Linked DNA regions of Canis lupus familiaris. The protein of the gene in region 1 purifies or fractionates together with the protein of each later gene. This does not show direct contact. Links are inferred from orthologs where the notes say so. Each region holds a gene or a part of one and is shown on either strand. Other genes may lie near its edges.

Region 1 (3,891 bases):
GAAACCCCAGGACCAGAGGCCCAGGACTTCACCCCACCTCGGCTCTCCTGGGGTTACCCTGGGCTTTGTGCACTAATGGCTTCCACTGCTGTGTGTCTTGGCCAAGTCCCTCCACCTGTCTGTGCCTCCATTGTCTCACCTGCAGGAGAAGGAGCATGATAGTGCTACTGGGTAGGGCCGTCATGGGGATTCCATGAGGGAGAGCCACGCACAAACTCACCCCTAGGTAGGTATGGGCTTCGCTCCCGCTCACGCCCCCAGCTGCAGGTGGTGTGGGAAGGTCAGAGAGGGCACCTGCCCCAGCCACCGGAGTCTGTTCTTGGAGGCAGCCTGGGCTCCCTCGGCCTGACCCCAAATCCTGCACGACAGACCGCATTCTTAATAACATCTTTTATTGATTTTGCGAGAAAAAAAAAATAGAAATTTATTTTACAGTTAACGCCTGCACCTCTTCTCCCCCTCCTAAACTGCCCGGCGCATACAATTATGATAAACAGCCGCGGAGGTTGTGCGTGGCCTCGGGGCCAGCTCCCCGGGTGGGACCTGGGCCGGGCTGGGTCTGGGCGGCGACGGAGCTGGGTGGCCGGGAGAGAAGCGGCGGCGCTGGTTTGGCCCCTAGGAGCTGGCTCCTCGGCCCCGGGGGTGGGGGGCTGTGGGGCTGGGGGGCTGGGGGGGCAGCCGCAGCCCCTCCCCCCCCCCCCCCCCCCCGGGGCCCAGCGGCCTCCTCGCAGGCGCTCGGCACATCTGGGAGGCGCGCACAGAAGCCCCGGCCCTGGAAGCTACAGGAATGATGGATCTTCTCCGGGAGAAACAATTCCTTATCTCCCCATCGGCCCCGCGCTCCAAATGAAAAGCGCATTTGCATAGCTGCTCCGCCGAAGCTGCAAAGCCCATAAAGTATTTGCCGGCTCGGGCGCGCGGTTGCATAGGAACGTACTCGGGGCCCAGGGCTGCGGCGGCCGGGCCGCGCGCCAGGGAAACAGCGGATTAATATTTGCAACGAGAAATTACCCACCGCTGGGAAACCAATTAGGTCCCTGATCCGAGCTTGTTACATCGATGGAAATAGATACGTTCGGAGCTTCACTCGGCTGGGGGTGCAAGGCACGTTTCCAACTCGAGGGGAAGCTGCTGGAAGGGGGGCGGGCGGGGAGGAGGGACCGGGAGGGGCCCCGCCTCCAGACAAAGTTCCGGGCGGACGCGGAGGGGGGCCGTGGAGGGGGGCCCGAGGGGAGGCTGCCCCCCACCCCCCCCCCCGTGCGCCGGGCGGCCTGGCCGGTGGGCCCCGCTCCCTTCCTTTCCTACGTGAGACACACCTCCCCGAGGGGTCCGTCCTCGCCTGGGATGAGCCAAGGGGGTGGAGCAGTCCGGGCTAGACATTGGGGGGGGCAGGGACTGAATGACCCCCCATCCCCAGCCGGCCGCAGCAGCCCGCCCTTGAGGCAGGGGTGGCGGGGAGGGGAGCTGTTGGCACCTCCGCTGCAGCCTCCCCGCACCCCCGGGCGCCCCCTCCTGTGGGGTCTGAGGCCGACGGGGCGGGCACCCAGGCTCTGCGCGGGACGGGAGGCCTCCGGCCACGGCACCCACCCGAGGCGGCCCAGCGGGGGCGGGCCGGGCTGCTGCGCCCCGGGGCGGGCGGGGGGCACGCGGAGGGAGCGCAGAGGAAGGCCATGCCACACGGGTGCCCTCTGGCTCCCCTCTTCCAGCCCCTGGAGCCCAGGCTGCTCCAGGCTGAGGGCGGGGCGGGCGCCGGCTCTCCCTCCTCGGGTCAGCACCGCCATCGTCGTACTGTCTCCTTCTCGCTTATGCACGTTTTGGGGCGTAAGGCTGTCAAAGGGAGCATGCGGAGGGGAGGGCGTCACCCAACCTCGGTCCTCGAGGGCGGCCCCACGCCAGGCCCCGCAGCAGTCCCCGCAGCCTCCGAGCTCGGAGCTCGGACCTCGGACCGAAGCCCCCGCAGCAGGCCCCCCCAGGCCGGCCCCCAGGCCTCTGCCCGGCCAACTCCCTGAATGTCTCAGGCGGCAGCTCAAGCACCACCTCCTCTGGGACGCCCTCACCCGGGGCACCCTCCCCTGGCTTCCCACAGAGTCCGGAGGGCACGGCTGCACCGCAAAGGCCTGCTCCCAGGAAGCCAGGCCGCCCGGGTGCAGGTGCCCGCAGGAAGCAGGCCTCGCTACTCCTGGGGTTCTGACCCCACAGTCCCTCCTCGCCCCGGAAGCCTCCTGGGGAGAGAAGAGGGGTGCAAGGGGCAGGCAGGGGCGAGAGGCTGTGGGACGCGGCCAGCTGCTGGTCCGCGCAGCCTCGAGTCCCGAGGGCGGCCTCTGCGCAGAGCATCCCAACCCACCTGGGTCAACTGCACCCTGCTTCCTTTTCGAGTTGGTAATGATTTGGTTTTCATTCATCATCTGGACGTCCTGATCCTCCACCTGATTGCTGGGGGGAGGGAGAAGACAGAGGGTTCGGCCCAGGCCATCTCCTTCTTAGGGCCAGCCGGGGAGGCTGAGGGCTGGGCGTGGGCGCACCTGATGGCCGTGTGTCGCTCCTGGCGGCAGATGTCCGTGTCCTCGGTAAAGAGGATGGTGTGGTAGGGCACCGTGGGCTCACATGTGGGCAGGATGCCCCCCACCAGGTGGCCCACCATGGCCAGGATTCCGTTGTACACAAGCAAGTCATCCACCAGGAGCTGGACAGACACAGAGGAGGGGCTGCACCCAGTGGGGCCGGCCCAGGGTCCCCTGTGGTCCCCTTTGCCCCAAGGCCCTGGGCAAAGCATGTTACTGCTGGGAGCGTCGTGGGCTAGCCTGGCCGGCGTTGGGATTTCGGGCCTTCACGACTGGGGAAGGTACCTGCGATTGGCCTCCCGGGGCCCCGCTCGCCCTGCCCCAGGGTCACCTCCCCGAGTGACAGGTTCCCTAGACCAATATGATTGCAAAAGAAAAGCCACTTTCTGGTTTTCAGGGTGATGATTCAAATCACTCAGAGTAGGTTTTGAATTCACGATGGGATGGCGAATTTCCCTGCCTCTGAGAACCAGGCATTTGTGTCTAAGGTGGCAACAGAGAGAAGTAAATCAAACTGCGACAAATGATAATTGCCGGCAGCCTAATTACCAACGAGCATAATTATCTCGAAAAACCCAGCTGATAAGTACTCACGCCAAACTCTTTCACCCCTCGATGGGGCGTTTTTGCGTAATTCCACAGTTTGATCATTGACACGGTGGTGGGCAGATCGAAAATCACATAAACTCGGTTCACCTGTCAGAGACAAGAACTCATTAAAACAGGCATGTTTGGGAACAGGTGCTGGGCGGGGCAGGGGGTGCCGGGCGCGGGCAGGGAGGGGCTGGCCCCGGTGGGTGCTGGAGGCGGCGCCCGGCTGCCTGCCGGGGGCTGCGGCGCTGGGGTTCCCGCCGCCTCCCGTCTCCTGGAAGCCCATCTTGAGTCTGGTCACGTGTGGCTGCGTTTGCAACAAACTGCTCGCCGCCTGGCTCCCGGAGGGCCTGTTTTCTTGGGCCTGGCGTGGCCCTCATTTAAATACCCGCAGAGAAGTGGGTGGGCCCTTCTGTCTCCCCCAGGTCGGCCGACACCCAGCGCGGGGCTCCCCGGGCCAAAGGGGCAGGCCAAGGGTACAGAGTCAAGGAGCACTGTCCCCGGGCGGTCAGCACCGCCTTGACCCCGATCTGTCCTTTCTCCAGTCATAAATGAGAAGCACAGCAGATAGCCCGTGTCTTTGAACCTCTGCGGGGGGGGGGGGGGGGGGGGGGGGGGGGGCTGTCCAGATGAGTGGCAGGAGCAGCTAGGAAGGTCAGACCTGGCGGCCTCCCCCACCCCCCGCCACCCTCCCACGGTCCCCACAGAGACTCTCCTGTATTAGGGGACCCCCTGTGAG
Region 2 (3,810 bases), on another chromosome or scaffold:
AGAGTCTGGAGGGTTGCCTGGTTCCAGAAAAGGGAAATCTGCGGTCTTCTTTCTTTTTCGGAATCAAAGGTTTAGCCTGTTCTGAAATTCACTTTTTCCACTTCATAACAGAGAACAGTTATCCTTCCATATCAGTATATACAAATTCTAGAATATGGCTAAACCATAGTTCACTGGACCATTCTCTTACTGAACAGCACACAGGTGACCTTAATTATTTAGCTATTACAAGTAATCCTACACTAAATGCTCTTGCCTCTCATCAGAACAATTAATAACTTCTACTAAATATATTCACTTTTTATGACACTTTCATATTGAGAGTGCTTAAAGGCCCGGAACTGTATGCTACTCATCCTAGTATTCTGGGAGGTTAATGGGATGCCTTATATGTAGCAGTAATCAATACATTCTGGATGGATGAATGGATATCTCTAAACCTTATTAAGACTTAAGGTACACACGGAATGATGAAAGATGTTATTATGGGCCATTATACAAATGGAAGATACATCTGGTGGGAAAAGAGGGAATGTGTGGCAGAGCTATTGTATGTCTTCACAACACAGTGCTCCTGGCAACTGCTTAAGGCATGGTGGCAAAGCATGTGTGAGGAGTTGTGTTGTGCTAGAGCACATTTTGTATTTTTGGTGAATAGATATGAAAAAAAATGCGAAGAGAATCTGAACACGTAAGTCACAAAAGGGGAAAAAATATAGTCAAGAAACACAAGAAAAGATGCTCAACCTCATTAGTAAACATGCAAGTTTAAACCACAATAAGATGCCATCTCACACCTATCAGACCGGCACACATTTTGCAATCTTGACAGTACCAAGTGGCATCAAGGATGCAGCACAACTCCCAGACCCTGCTGGAGAGCAATTTGGCAACATCTGTAAAGTCAAAGATGAGCACACCCTTTAACCTGTTAACATTATACCCAGAGAAACCTTCACATGGGTGCACAACAATAGGTTCGTCTCAGCACCCTTTCTCATGGCAAAGATTGTTCACAAATTACACGCTCATCGAGAAAGGAAGAATAAATAAATTATGGTCCAGTAAAACTAATAGATTATGATACAGTATATATATTATATATGTATATACTTATGTTATACAATATTTATTATGTGTGTCTTACATATATGTTTAATTGCTACAGTATAATATAATTACTAAAATGAGTGGAGATCCAGAATTATGTTCATATTAATTTTTGAACATGCAAAAATATACTAAGTGGTTCATGAATCTTTTAAGAATGCAGAGAAATAATAAGCACCCAAATCAGGTGATGGTCAGGGGAAGGAAAGGGGAAGAGAGAAAAGGTAGGAAGGCCTAAACAGTGGACTTCATGTATATTTGCAAAGTTTGACTCCTTGAGCTGGTGGCAGGTACCTGTCTGGGGAGAGTGATGTGGAAAACTGGTCTACTGGGAATGGGGTTAGCCCACCTGGAAGGCTTATGAAATTCATTTACTCATTTTTAAAAAAGTGAGGATGAGGGAAAAAAAGTGAGGCGCTTTTTTTTTGGCACTCTATCTATCATTGTGCCTTCTGAGCTGTCCACCTACAAACTGGAGGGGGTTTTTCGGATGCTCTGGGGCTAAAGCTGGGTCATCAGAGGAGGGGGTGAGCTGGATGGAGCAAGGCATTTTACAATGCTCCACTAGGATGGAGCTAGGTTGGAGGTCCAGTAGGGCAGGGTCTCGGAAGTCAGAGGTGCCCGATGCCCTGGCTACTCCTGAGGGCAGACCCTGGAGTCGCTGGCTGAGTACCCAGGGCCTGCTGCCCAGAAAGAGACAGGAGCATAGGCCTGATAAAGGGGCCCTGGGCTTCCCCCCTAGAAAACCCTCTTGTCTCTTCTCTCTGGACCCACCCTGCAGCATCCAGAGAATTTGCCTCTTGTCATTTAGGGGTTAATGATCATTACCCACCTGAATTTATTTTGCTGATTACCGATACTGTTCCTGAAGATTTCCCAGACAAACCAGAACTAGACCACGGGTTAGATGGAATAAAATCCTTGCCTGGATTTGGAAGGATGCCGTTTCTTATATTTATTCCTAATAGGGAAGACAGGAGTTTCAAATGCAAAAGACATATTTCATCTTGTACCAGATTTTAGTGGTAAGCTCATCACAGAACCCTATTCATCCAAGCTTCCTACAGCTCGACAGAGCAAAAACTGGCTGTGATGTTGTCTGATAGACAGCAGAGGAAAGCTTGCGTCCTGGGGTTGAGTATGCTGTCTCACTGGTGGGCAGCCCGAGAGAGGTCTCTTGACCTTCTCCCAACAGGTCTGCCTCACGTCTTCTGTCTTGGCCCCTCTGGTGGTATCCTGGGCGTCAGTGTTCCTGGACACTCCTACCTGTATCCCTTCATGGGTCACTGCCTGTCTGTCACCTTCCCAAAGTCCTCTCCATCCCCCTTCTACCAGCCAGCTCTGCAGGCCCCTGCTCTCCTCTCTGCATCCTGTCCCCCAGATCCATCCTCTCACCTGACCTGGACCATGAGCGCCATTAAGTGCTGGTGACTTGGGTCTGCACTGGTGACCCTTGCTGACTCCCTCACGCCCAAGGCTGCCTGGATCTTTATCAATCACCTTGACCTGGAGCCAAACTACCCACGTGACTGCCCACTTGCCTATTTATGTCAGGCACTGCAGCTATTTTTCAGAACTGAAAGACTGAATTCATCTTTTATCCTCCTTCTGCTCCTAGAGCCGAAAAGAAATAACTAATTCCCTCCCTGTTCCCTTTCACTTGTGGTGGCTGTAGTTCGAATCTCTGCCCCTGACACCTGGACCACTGCTGTGCTCTGTCACTTGCTCTCTCTTTTTCTTGGTCATCCCAGGAGGCCCGTCAAGGGCGAGGAGTCAATATACCAGCAGGGCCTGCTGCTCCCACCTCATGTGTCCTGGGGCCCCAGCCCCAGCCTAAGCCACCACTCCCTTACCGGCTACGAGAGCTACAGCCTGCCTTCATCCACTCATCACACAGATGGGACATGAACCCAGCACACTCTCCAATTAAAGCCTTTGAAACAGCTTCCTGCTGCCTATGAAATAAATTCCAAATTTCTTAGAAGACTCCCAAAGAGGGCTCTAGTACATCTATCACTCTCTTACCACACTCTGGCTACTCTGGCCCCACTGCCCTTCCCCTCACAAACCAAGCCCTTTCCTGCCTCCTAGGCCTCTCCATTTGCTGCTTCATCTGCCTGGTTTGTCCTGCTCATTTGTTCCTCCACATTTCTTGGTGGCCCAGACAGGAGTCACTTGCTCAGAGAGGCCCTTCCTGAGCACTCTATCTATCATTGTGTCTCCTTCCTGCCTTCTATCGCCCTTAACATCTCGTATCACCTGAGCTACTGGTTCCTATTTGTTTAGGGTCTGGCTCCCACCTCTAGACTATAAGCTGCAGGCTGCTGTACAAAGTCACTGCATAGACTGTAATAAAACTGCAGCCCGTGGTCCCACTTGGCTGCTGTGTTCCCCGTAATTTCCCTAGCACACATCAGATGCTCAGTACATATGTACTCACTGAATGAATTTGTGAACGGATGGTTGGCTCATCCTGTAAGCTTGGAATATGGAGGATGTGGAGAGAGGAGGCTTGTGCAACCATCAAGCTACAGCGTTTATACTTACCCCCTGCAATACTGCCAGGTGGTGTGACTGAGCTCCTACCCTGGTCTCCTCCTGAGAGCACACAGGACTGGCAATTTTTCCTAACCCTGCTCTGGAGCAGGGGCCTCAGGCATGCTGCCTGGCTCTTACCAGTTCCTCCCTCTCAGTAGGGGT

What was found.
Region 2: the proteins of KATNIP (region 1) and CILK1 purify together in Homo sapiens (affinity purification with mass spectrometry; 3 studies listed by BioGRID and IntAct, with this or other methods). This does not show direct contact. The link is inferred for Canis lupus familiaris from reciprocal best matches to the Homo sapiens genes KATNIP and CILK1.

What each region holds. Positions count from the first base shown.
Region 1 is NC_049227.1:19,102,607-19,106,497, forward strand, and holds the end of KATNIP (katanin-interacting protein), read right to left. Parts: intron 3,258-3,891; coding exon 3,156-3,257; intron 2,684-3,155; coding exon 2,523-2,683; intron 2,434-2,522; coding exon 2,345-2,433; intron 1,828-2,344; coding exon 1,769-1,827; 3' UTR 704-1,768; downstream 1-703. UniProt on the Homo sapiens protein: May influence the stability of microtubules (MT), possibly through interaction with the MT-severing katanin complex.
Region 2 is NC_049233.1:20,703,476-20,707,285, forward strand, and holds part of CILK1 (serine/threonine-protein kinase ICK), read right to left. Parts: intron 2,072-3,810; coding exon 1,943-2,071; intron 897-1,942; coding exon 798-896; intron 1-797.